3 linked regions of the Elephas maximus indicus genome follow. The protein of the gene in region 2 purifies or fractionates together with the protein of the main gene of each other region. This does not show direct contact. Links are inferred from orthologs where the notes say so. Each region holds a gene or a part of one and is shown on either strand. Other genes may lie near its edges. The genes, in order: protein argonaute-1, DICER1 and AGO3.

Region 1 (3,745 bases), on a different chromosome or scaffold from region 2:
GCGCTTGACCATATATATATTCACACTTGAACATGATTCAGTTCAAGTGTGAATATACTCTGTGTCATGGCCTATGCTAGGCAGTTGCTGGTTCCACAGATAAATCAGACACTGCCTCTGCACCTGACCAGAGTTGGCATACTTGGGCATAAGCCCAGTGAGGCCTGCAACAATGCCTCAGTTTGTGTGTGTCCTCGGGCTATCTCAAGCCATCACCCTAACTCCTAATAGTCTGAGCCTGGGAAGGAGGCAGTTATGGGGTTCCTCCACCTGAAGTTTCCAGAACTAATTTCAATTACACCCTTTAATGAAGCGAAGCCTGTCCCACTAGGCTCTTCCTAAGGCTACCGCAGACACCAGGCTTTGTCCCTTCCCTAGAACCTTATTTTTTGTAACAAACAAAAAGGTCAACTTTTTCCATCACTCCAGAGCCCATTATAAATTCATCAGGATAAAATCATCAGCAGTCTGGTGTTGGTATTGGTGCAAGCCCTCAGAAATTCATCTGGATCTCTGTGACCCACCGCACTTCTCTAGTCCACAGGCTGTTGCAAACAGGCTCCAGCCTAGAAAACCAAGAGAGCTCCTGAGATGATGACAGGCACCTAAGGGAGGGAGAAAGTAGTGACCACTGAAGTCAGTTGCTTCCTGAACTCTATTCCCATACCTTAGGGCCCACAGAGTCTCTGTAAGGTTGTTTCTCTTTTCGGGAGAAGAGTAGTCACTAAATATTTATAGATCACTGAATGGATAATTTGAGTGAGTTCGTAGGAGGTATTTCCTTGAAGGTAGAAGGTTTGATCTAAAAGACAAAGATCTTTCCACCAGAGAAGTAAATCCTATTTCCATTCCTAGACCAAATGGAAGGAGGTGATAAGAGGTCACCTAAAGAATTCCAGGATCCAGAATGTTCTTTCTCCCATCACAGGGTAAGAAAGAGACCTAGGACACAAGACATCCCAATACCCCACAGATCATCCTGCGGGCCCTAGTCTTCTTGGGGAGGCCTGCCTCCATTTCTCCTCTGTTCTTAGTTCCTTTTCTCCTGCTTGCATGTAAAAAAGGAGAAGTTAAGGCTATCAGCGGGAACTCAGTACACCAAGGTGCAAGCTAAAATCTCCCACCCTAGTCCCTCCCGACCTAGCTGAGCAACCTAGAGTCTAATGACATGGCTCTGACAGTTTCTGGGGGGTTGAGAGAGGGAAAAGGAAAGAAAGACTACAGATAACCAGTGAAGTATAGGAACCGTGAAAATATTGAGGTATAGGAAAAGATCAGGCTGTCACCTTAATACACATTTCAATAGAAAGGTCCTCATCCTTGGATTAAAAGCTTCAATCTCTATTCAGTATTGGCCCAGAAACTTGCAAAGAAGGCAGAAAATCCCTTCCAGGTAGACTTGGTCCTGGCCTTGGTCCCTCAGTAACGAACACCTTTTCTAAGGCCTATCTTCAGGGAGGACCCACCTTCACCCCCCAAAACACTGCTTTAGTCTCAGTCTTTCCTTACTCTACTGGCAAAGAGGAGCACTTTGGCAGTTTCTCTTAACCTTAATTGGGAAACTGTGACTGAGGGGCTTCAGGGCCAAGTGTAAGAGACCCCAAGATGGGGGAAGGGACCATTTCCACTTGGCCCTCCCAGCATAACGTTAGAGAATCCACCCCATCAGCTCGCTCCTTCTTCCAGGCCAAACCGGGACTAAGGGGTGGGGGAACGATCTCAGGCAGCCACGCCCCCACCACACTGGGCAGCCCCTTCCAGCTGCCACCTCCGCGCATGCTCCGGCGCCTCTGCTCCGGCTCCCCAGACTCACTGGGGGGAATCCCGCGGCTGGGATTCCAGCCCAGCTCTGGCGCCTTCTCCCCGAGACACTAACCCAGCCCAGCCAGGCTGAGCCCCCGCCCCCGGCATGCGGCTGCTCCGGGCCCATCTGTGTCGCCCCCTCCTCTCCGGGACACCTGGAGCCCGCCCCCTGCCACCTGCCGGGCCTCTCCCTAGGCCTCCTCGGATATACGCGAGTCTTTGCGTGCTACCAGGGCCTTCTCCAAGATTACTTCCCACCCCCAGGACTGCATACAGCCTCCTTCTACAAATGGCCCCCATCTCAGGGCTCCCTTCACAAGGTCTTCTCTCCCGGAACTGCACACAGCCCCCTTCAAACTGGGCCCCCATCCCAAGAGAGCCCCTCTCCTCACTCAGGAGCCCTTCCCTCACTCGGAAATCCCGCTCCTCACGCGGGAGCTCTCTGGTCCTTGGAGCACGCACAGCACCCCCCTTCCCCGGGGCCCTTACCTGCTCCCGAGGGTCCCGCTTCCATCCCATATACCCGTGCGGAGGTCAGGCGGCCTGGAGACTTTGGAGTCCAGCGTGAGGGGCCTAGGTACCCCGCACTTTAGCTGCTTGGGCTCCCGGGCCGGGCTCGGCTCCCCCCCCGAAGCCCGGCCGCTCGCACCGCCGCCCCCGCAGCCTCCGTTGCCGCCGCGGCCGCGGAGCCTGCAGCAGCTCCCCCTTCGAGCGCCCGGCCAGTTGCTAGTGCGCAGGCGCGGCCGCCAGGCCCAGGGGGCGGACGGGAACGAGTCAAGCGGGGCGCTCCGACGGCAACAAAGGCCAATGGAGAGGGGCGGGGGCACCGGGGACCGGAGGCAGCGGCCCCTGGTGGTCACCCGTCGCCATGCAGCCCAGCGGGAGGGCTCCCGTAGAGGCGCCGCGAAACCGCGCAGCGGCGTTAGTGAGGCTGGGAGGCCCACCCCCGCAACAGCCTCCGGCCCTGTATCTTTTTCCAAAATAATCCCCTCCAAACTTACACACAGACCCTCCTTCACACAGGACCACGCGCATATTACAGGGACCCCACCTCATACCCAGACCCCCCCCTACACACTCGAGCGCCCCATCACCCAGGAGCCCTGCCTCCCACCTCTCCTCCCAATCACCCTCATCCTTCAAGCCTCGGCTGCAAAGCGACTGCCTCCGCAAAGTCTTTCTCCGTCCCCAGTCGATGAACTCACTGACGCCACCCTGTCTTCCAGGACGTGTACTGGGCGCTGAGACCAGAGATACGAAACAGAGCCTGCCTACCCTGAAAGATGTACAGTCTCAACTCAAGTGCAGCGACAGAGCTCTATCTGCGGTACTCGGGAAGGACCTGCCTCCACTTTCTCATTTACAGCTCACGCCGTAACTCCGCCAATCTGCTTTCACCCTCATCACCTCACTTAAATGACTTTTTGTGCCGAAATCCAGTTGATAATTTTCAGTTCTTATTTATCTGACATCATCCGTGCCTCTCCTTTTTTGAATCTTCTACTTGGCTTCTGTATTTTCTGAGGTCTCCATTTTGTCCAATTCCTTTTCAGTCTCCTTTGAGGGCCCTCTCTTGCTTTTGCTCTATTAAATAATAGTGTACACCTGGTTCCCAACCCCGTTCTCTTCTCATTCCACTCTCCACTTTCCCCTTGAAGGTCTCATCCACTATCCTTTCAAATCTCTATCTCCAGCCAAGTCTCATATTCCCAAGCGTTTGCTGGACAGCTCCACCTGGATAGCCTATCAGCACTTCGTATTTAAGGAGTCCAAAACTGAACAAAAAAAAATTTTTTTTTTTGCTTTATTGTAGTAAATATATATACATAAACATTTGCCAAAACAAACTCTTTCCCCCACAAACGTGCTTGTCCTGTTTCCTGTCTCAGTGAATGACACCTTCATAGAAATGGCAATTCCTCTCTTTCCCTTGCTTCTTGTA
Region 2 (3,745 bases):
GTAACATAAAAAGACAAAGTGAACTCTCACCAAGAGATAACTGTAGGAAAAGAAGGTCTCTACTTCCCAAATTAAAGCTAATTCATCTTTTCTTAAAATAGCATTTTGATGCCATGAGAAAATCCATAAACTCATGCTACCATTACCAATCTACCAGGCGCTCCCTGGCAACTCTATGGGGCAGTTCTACTCTGTCCCATAGGATCGCTATGAGTCGAAACTGACTCGACGGCACTGGGTTTTTGGGTTACCATTACCAATATTTATAACGATCATATTTAAAGCAATCTTTATAGTGCTTTTAATCTATAAACAGACGAAATTTATAAAAATACGGCCTGAAAATGAAATTTTGAAATAATTTTATATGTGTACATATAAATACAAGGAGTCATGGTGGCATGGTGGGTAAGTGCTTATACTAACCCAAAGGTTGACGGTTCAAACCCACCAGTCGCTTCGTGGAAGATGTGGCAGTCAGCTTCCGTAATGACTACAGCCTTGGAAACCCTGTGGGGAAGCTCTGCTGTCTTATCGCATTACTATATATAGACACGACATTTACTCATCTACCAACTGCCACGGAGTTGATTTTGACTCATAGCGTTATGACTCACTGTACATATACATACACAGCATTCACCCACTGCCATTGACTCGATTCTGACTCACAGCCAACCACCAACCTTTCAGTTAGCATCCCAATGCTTAAACACTGTGCCACCAGGGCTCCTGTACACGGCATACGTTACAGGTAATACACACGTACCGCAGCGTATTAAACCAAGCCAGACTCATTGCCCTGAGTCTGTTCCAACTCATGGTGACCCCATGTGTTACAGAGAACTCCTCCATAGGATCTTCTTGGCTGTAATCTTTACAGAAACAGATTGCCAGGCTTTTCTTCCGAGGTGCCACTGGGTGGGTTCCAACTGCCAATATTCACGTTAGTAACCCCGTGCTGTCAAGTTGATTCCAACTCATAGTGACCCTGTAGGTCAGTAGTCAACTGCAAAACCATTTTCGCCACGCAGGGACCTTACCACAGGTAGGCAGCTACTTTAAAAAAGATGCCTTCCAAAATAAACTGGTTATTCCAGAACCTAGCTCCCAAAGATATTAATATTAGTAAAACCACTATAGACTTGCAAGCTCGTTCAGAATCTTGTACCATCATCCATTTTTTAATAGAGCAAATTATTTGAGATCTTGGATAAGACAGTTTTTATTCAGAAATCAAATTAAGAGTTTAATGTTTGTACCAATATAACTTTCACTGTTTCAATTCAGCTTTTTTTAAAGCATATTAAAAGAAAAAAAACATTTTCGAAGTTACTTAACTCCTGACTTGTGCCCTTTTCCATTCGCTGAGCGTGCTGCACGCGAAAAACAAGCCACAAGAAGACAACTGCAAGATTGTAAAGCTTCGGAAGATTCAAAGACAAAAGAACCTGGATAAGCACAGACTTCAGAGGCACGTTTTTAAAATCTGGTAGTCATAAGAATATTTAGACTTAGGTAACGTGTCCTCTGCAGCATGACTTTCTTCACGAAAGCACCGACTGTGATCCTTGGAGCAAGAACTCTGCACGCATCTCCACGTGTTTACAAATATTCAGAACACTAAAGATACAGAAAGTGGCTTGTTAGCTCAGTACTTGTTAGCAGGCAAAGCCATCACAGAAGCTCAGCTTCTCTAAAAAGTCCACATAAATCAGTACTGCTAACTTGATTTCCCAAAGTTACAAACCCTTAGGAAAGTGTCCATCTACAGGGGCCAGGCATCCTGGCAGAAGTCATGCACAAAAACATGGGAGGGGAGGGGCAAAAAGATGGCCTAGGCCACTGGCCCCTGGGGACCCAGATCTGCTCGCCTGCCAGTAAACACAGACAACCCTTCCCGGGAGGGGCCCGAGGCTCCCGCTCTCCTGCCAGCACCGGGAGCCTCCTGGAGGGCCCCTGTCTACTCCGTGCTGGCCCTTTGGAAGGTGCCAGCGGAGGCCCAGCGCAGCGACCCCGAGCACAGCAGGTCCCCAGGATGCATTCGCGTCCCACCGCTGCTAATTCCTCCCCACCCTCATTTCTGTAACTGGACCTGTCAAGACCCCGGCCCTCCACCGGGCTGGGGGTCAGCGGTGAGCGCGGTACCGCATCCCCGCCCCATGCCAGAGCGGCCCCGGGGAGTCGCTCCCAAGCACCGCCTCGGGCGGAGGCGCGGGCGCTGGGCCTGTGCCAGTCCGGGGCCGAGCTAGACAGCGGGCGGCCGGGCCGGGCCCTGCAGGCCGCGCCATCTGCCAGCGGCGCCGGGGCAGCGAGCAGGCCCGAAGGCCGCGCTCGGGCCCGGGCAGGGCGCCCACGAGGCCTCGGCGCGCAGGCGGGAGCGGACCGGGCGGAGCGACTCCGCGCCCGGACACAAAGCGGCTCCGCGGGAGCCCGCCTCACCTGCAGCATGGGGCGCCGCGGGCCTTCGAGAACCATCGGACCCCGCTCCGGCGCGCGCGTCACAGCCCAGGCCGCCTGGGGCCGCCCGGCGCCGCCGCCGCCGCCGCCATTTCCTCCCGCTCGCCGTCGCCTCGTCCCCGCTGTCAGGTTACTCCATTCACCTGGGCCTGGAGCCGCCTGCGCCGCGCCGCGCCGCGCCTCCGCCTCAGCCCCTCCCGCCGGCGCCTGCGGAGACTGCGCAGCGCCCGGCTCGCCCGCAGCCCGCGCTCGGCCCACGGCAACGGCGCACGGCCGCTTGGAGAATCCCACTGGCACCCGCGCCGCCGCCGCCCCCTCCGCGCGCCCCACGTTCCGCGCGCCCCGCGGCGGCATGAGAGCCAGCCTGTGATTGGACGGAGCGCGGCGGTGAAAGGTTAATCCCGGCCCCCCAGCCATTCAGGAGCAGGGAGACAGCCGGCCGGGGCTGCGTTTGCGGCCCAGCGCCGGACGGGAGCCGGACGGGACCCGGGCGTTCCCCGCCTGCGGCCGGGCGGCGCGTTGGCTGCCTCCCCGGACCCGCGCGCGGAGGTTGGAGCTGCTGGCCCGACTGGCCCTCGGGAGGGTCTCCTGCCCCTCGGGACTCCGGTGCCTCCGTTGTCGCCCCCTCTGGCGCCCACGCCGGCTGGAGTTCTGCAGAGCTCCGCTCTCCTTCGCCACCTTCCTTCCATTGTAAAGCACCTTCCCACTCGCCTGCTTCCTCCCTGCGTTCGGCCGCGGGGGCCTCTGCTGCCCTGTTTGCTTCCCGGCGTCTTACTGCAGCGTTCGCGGTGCAGGCACCCCGCAGTTTGGAGAGAACAGACCCCCCACTGGACCCCCAGCCCTCTGGGAAGTGGGATAACCTGATGCTGAAATGGAGCAGCGGCCGCATGGGTGTCATTGGTTCCTTTGACTAGATCTGAACAAATCTACCGTACCCTGTAGCTGTGACTTGAAGTATGGATGGAGATGAAGTTAGGGGCTGCCTTACAGAAAATCCTCATTTGTCCACAAATGGAGACATCTCTAGGAGCCCTGGTGGTGCAGTGGTTAACGCTTGGCTGCTAACCCAAAGGCCAGTGGTTTGAACCCACCAGCGGCTCTGCGGGACAAAGAAGTGACAGACTGCTTCCATAAAGATTAGAGCCTTGGAAACCCTATGGGGCGGTTCTCTATCCTATAGAATCGCTATGAGTCGGAATGGACTACACAGCAACGGATTTGGTTTTTGGTTTTGTAGGCATCTCTTGAAAAGAATTCACCTGAAAGACTGGTTTACTCCCGGTGA
Region 3 (3,745 bases), on a different chromosome or scaffold from region 2:
ATATATTTGGGCATAATTTCACATGAAAAACCCAAAGGTGAGGGGCGGAGAGAAACAGAAAATAATTTTTTTTTATATATCTTTAAAAGTTTTGGTATGATTATTATGATTAATAACTAAATGTTTAACTTTCATGTTTTGTTTTCCAGCTTTACAACAAGATTAACCAACCAGTTAACCAACTGCTGCCAAGTCAACTCCAACTCATGGTGATCCCATGTGTGTCAGAGTAGAACTGTGCTCCACAGGGTTTTCAATGGTTGATTTTATGAAATAGTTCACCAGGCTTTCTAACAAGATGCCTCTGAGTGGTCTCAAACCTCCAACCTTTCAATTAGCAGCCATTAACCATCTGTATCACCCAGGGGCTTCTATGAGAGAAAATTATGTAAAATAGCCCCAAATCATTGCACCTTTTATACAGTAAGAACAAAGAGCATGGTAGAAATTTCAAAACCAGGGCAGCTTCTGAAATACATGAATTAATAATAAAAGTGTCTCAAAGCTCTTCACAATCTAGGCAAACTTTCCATTTTTAAAAGGATGTGGAAGCTGATTTTAGAAAATTCCATGTAATAAAACTTGTAATAAACCTCCTCTCCATTTCACTCCCCCAATTTCTGAGTGCTTTTTGCATCTAATTGACAATTATACTCCTTATCAACAAAATTCTTTATATCATATTGAGGTACCTCTCAAACTGGCAAAAGAAAATGTGAAATTCAGAGACTCATAATACCATTTGTAACAAGATGTCCCCCCCCCAAAATTTTTTTTTCTTAAATTAGTTTATAAATTTGTGACCATCGGGATGAGGCATACATCCAAATTTAACATACCAAGCATCATCATTTGATGAACAAACGGTTATGTAACAGCTATTCTATGTCCCTCAAGTAATTACTTTAGAACCACACCATGTTTTTTGTTTTTTTTTTCTTTAAAAGAACTGCCCACATCGCAATTTTTTTCAAGACTGCTGTTTTCCCCAGGAGAGAAAGCAGTTTTCCTAAATTCCAAATTCCCAGGAAAATGAAAACTGCTTCTCTAGGGTACAGAGAATGGAAAAATATATATATTTTCAGTAATTTTAAGATCCACCTCCTCACATAAGCAGTGATCCAGGCTGATATGACATCTCCAAGCTACTCAGAACTATACACCACGCTGCCACAAGCATTAACAGATAACTAGGGGATGGAAGAAATGCCATCTTAAATTTGACGTTGCACCTAATACCTACTTCAAACATTTTTCCTCCGTTATCTCAATGTATCTTCACAACTACCTCAAGAGATAGGTAAGGGAGGTGGCTCGCCACCCAGAGACTGAACGGGACACACAACCCAGTTAGAGGACACGGACACCGTTACTTCTTCAACTATAAAAACAAAACCGATGGCAAACCGTTCCTGACTCGAGAACGAGTATTCCACAAAAAATGAGTAATATCGCCTAAACAACAATGAACTTAAATCTTTTAAGCACAGTTTCCCCTCCAGGCAGTTTAGCTAACTCAGTGGCCGCCGGAGAACTGCGGCGCGGATGCGGAGAGGCCGGGCGTGGGGGCGGGAAGAGGGACGACGCCCGGAGGGTGCCCACCTCGCGCACCTGGGCCGGGGTGGAAGGAGCGACGATGCTCGGCTCCGGGGACAACAGCTGGGTGACACCCCCACCGACCGTGCCCGGCCCAGACTCACCTGCGGAGCCGATTTCCATTCATGGAGCTGGGGGGAGTGCTCCGAGTGAGAAAAGCGCCCACCACTGGGGGCAAGGAGGCGGCGCGGGGGGCGACGCGGCGCGACAGACACCCTCACTCGGCCCCGGGACGGGGGCGGCGACTGCGCCTCCTCAGCAATTGCACTCCGAAAGCTCGCGTTAGGAAGAGCCGCCGTCGGGAAACCACACAGGACTAAACCAGAGGAAGGAGAGGTATGAGGCGAAAAAGGGGAGCCCGGTCCGGAACTTGCGTCGCCCTTGACTGCTTACGCTCCCACTGCTCCTCCACGACTGCCGTGCCACCGACCTCCCCCGGGGGACGCCCCCGGAAGCCCGCTGGCGTCAGTTCCGCTGCCCCGGCTCGCCCGACGTCGAAGCTTCGCCTCTCCGCCCCAAGCCGTGCGAGAGCGACGTCGGTGCGGGCGCGGCCGGCGCGGAGGACGCAGAGGAGGCGTCCGGGAGCGGGCGCGGAGCCTGGGCGGAGCCTCGGCCCGGGAGGAGAGCGGGGCGGGGCCGGCCCATCAGCGGTTCTCCGCTGGTCGTGCCGGCCGGAGACAACCCCGAGGGACGGGGCTCTTCGCGCGACCTTGCTGGGGGCGGGGCCTGCCAGAGGCGACGTCGCGGATGGCGGCGGAGCTTACCTGGGGAGGAGCCTACCTGAAAGCTAGGCCTGTCCAAGTAAAGGATCCGGACCTGCAGCTGAGACTGAGGCCCCCCCGGTTGAGCACGTTTGGTCCGTCCCTCCCCGCCCCCTAGTTTGGGCTGCCTCAAGTGCCTCCCCCTCAACAAGAGGTCAAGTGACCCGCACAATTGATTATCTCCCAAATCGGTAGGGTTGCTTTAACGACTTTTGGAAAAAGGTGATTAAGGAACAGGACATTACACAAACATCGGATCGAATAATTTCCACGTTTAAAACTCCTTAATACCGCCTTGACACTGAGAAAATCCAAACTCCTTTCCAGGGCCAAAACGCACTCCGTTAAGGGGCCCCTGCCTTTCTCTCCAAGTAAGGCTCTCCCTGATCATTTTACTACAGCTACACTGTTCAGCTTCTGATTCCCTTAACCGGCAAAGCATTTTGCTTTTCCGTCTAGGAGCCTGCTTTTGGTGCACTTGGCCAGGAACCTTCTCCTCCTTTCTCGCTTCCTTTCCAGTCAGCCCTCCTGCCCCCTCCTCCCCACCCTCAATTTAAGGCATTTTAGAGAGGCCTTCTCGGACCACTCAGCTATGTTAGGACGCTCCCTGTTATTCTATCTCAACACTTTCTTGGTAGCCCTTATTTCAATCTAATTATTTCACTAGTTTGTGTGGCCCCTTCCCACTACAGTGCAAGCCTCATAAGGAAACCAGAGCCAGCACACTGGCAAATATTTGTTGCCTGAATGAAACATGATACCATTTTATTTAGGCTGATTCATGGTTTTTTCCTACATCCCTAAATATCAAAAGATTTAGACTTTTTTTTTTTTTAATCAAAATACATTTTCTCAAAGCTTGAGAAGATGAAGGAGAAAAAATATCTTCAGTTCCCTCCACTCAACTGTGGGACTTTGAATCAGTCACTTGATGTTTTTGGGCTTCAGTTTCCTCATCTGAAAAAATGGAAAGAATATGTACCTTACACAGTTGTTGTGAGGTTTGGGAATATACATAAAGCACAGAGAAAACCCTCCCTAAATGTTAGTGGATACCCATAATATTTACTATAGTTATGATTTCTAAGCACTTATCAGATGTACCTACCATACGGTAAACAATAAGGGGATGGGATTCAAACCCACATCTGTCTGACTCCAATTGTGCTTCACTTTCTTCTTCCTTCCCACCTCTACCTCTGTGAAAGATAATGCCCTACCCAAATTTGAAAATTTCAAATCTGTCACCAGATGAAACTGTATCTGAAAAGTTTTTGAATCCTTGACTGTACACAACCCAAGTTGTGGTAGCAGCATCTGTCAGGGTAAATACCAACTCCTGTGTAAGGGTCTATCATACCCTCTATCCCCCATTCTGGATCTAGTTC

The links.
Region 1: the proteins of DICER1 (region 2) and protein argonaute-1 purify together in Homo sapiens (co-immunoprecipitation; 7 studies listed by BioGRID and IntAct, with this or other methods). This does not show direct contact. The link is inferred for Elephas maximus indicus from reciprocal best matches to the Homo sapiens genes DICER1 and AGO1.
Region 3: the proteins of DICER1 (region 2) and AGO3 purify together in Homo sapiens (affinity purification with mass spectrometry; 3 studies listed by BioGRID and IntAct, with this or other methods). This does not show direct contact. The link is inferred for Elephas maximus indicus from reciprocal best matches to the Homo sapiens genes DICER1 and AGO3.

The regions. Positions count from the first base shown.
Region 1 is NC_064821.1:77,242,966-77,246,710, reverse strand, and holds the start of protein argonaute-1, read right to left. Parts: upstream 2,537-3,745; 5' UTR 2,318-2,536; coding exon 2,293-2,317; intron 1-2,292.
Region 2 is NC_064828.1:108,717,908-108,721,652, forward strand, and holds the start of DICER1 (endoribonuclease Dicer), read right to left. Parts: upstream 2,534-3,745; 5' UTR 2,443-2,533; intron 1-2,442. UniProt on the Homo sapiens protein: Double-stranded RNA (dsRNA) endoribonuclease playing a central role in short dsRNA-mediated post-transcriptional gene silencing.
Region 3 is NC_064821.1:77,289,834-77,293,578, reverse strand, and holds the start of AGO3 (protein argonaute-3), read right to left. Parts: upstream 2,287-3,745; 5' UTR 1,720-2,286; coding exon 1,701-1,719; intron 1-1,700.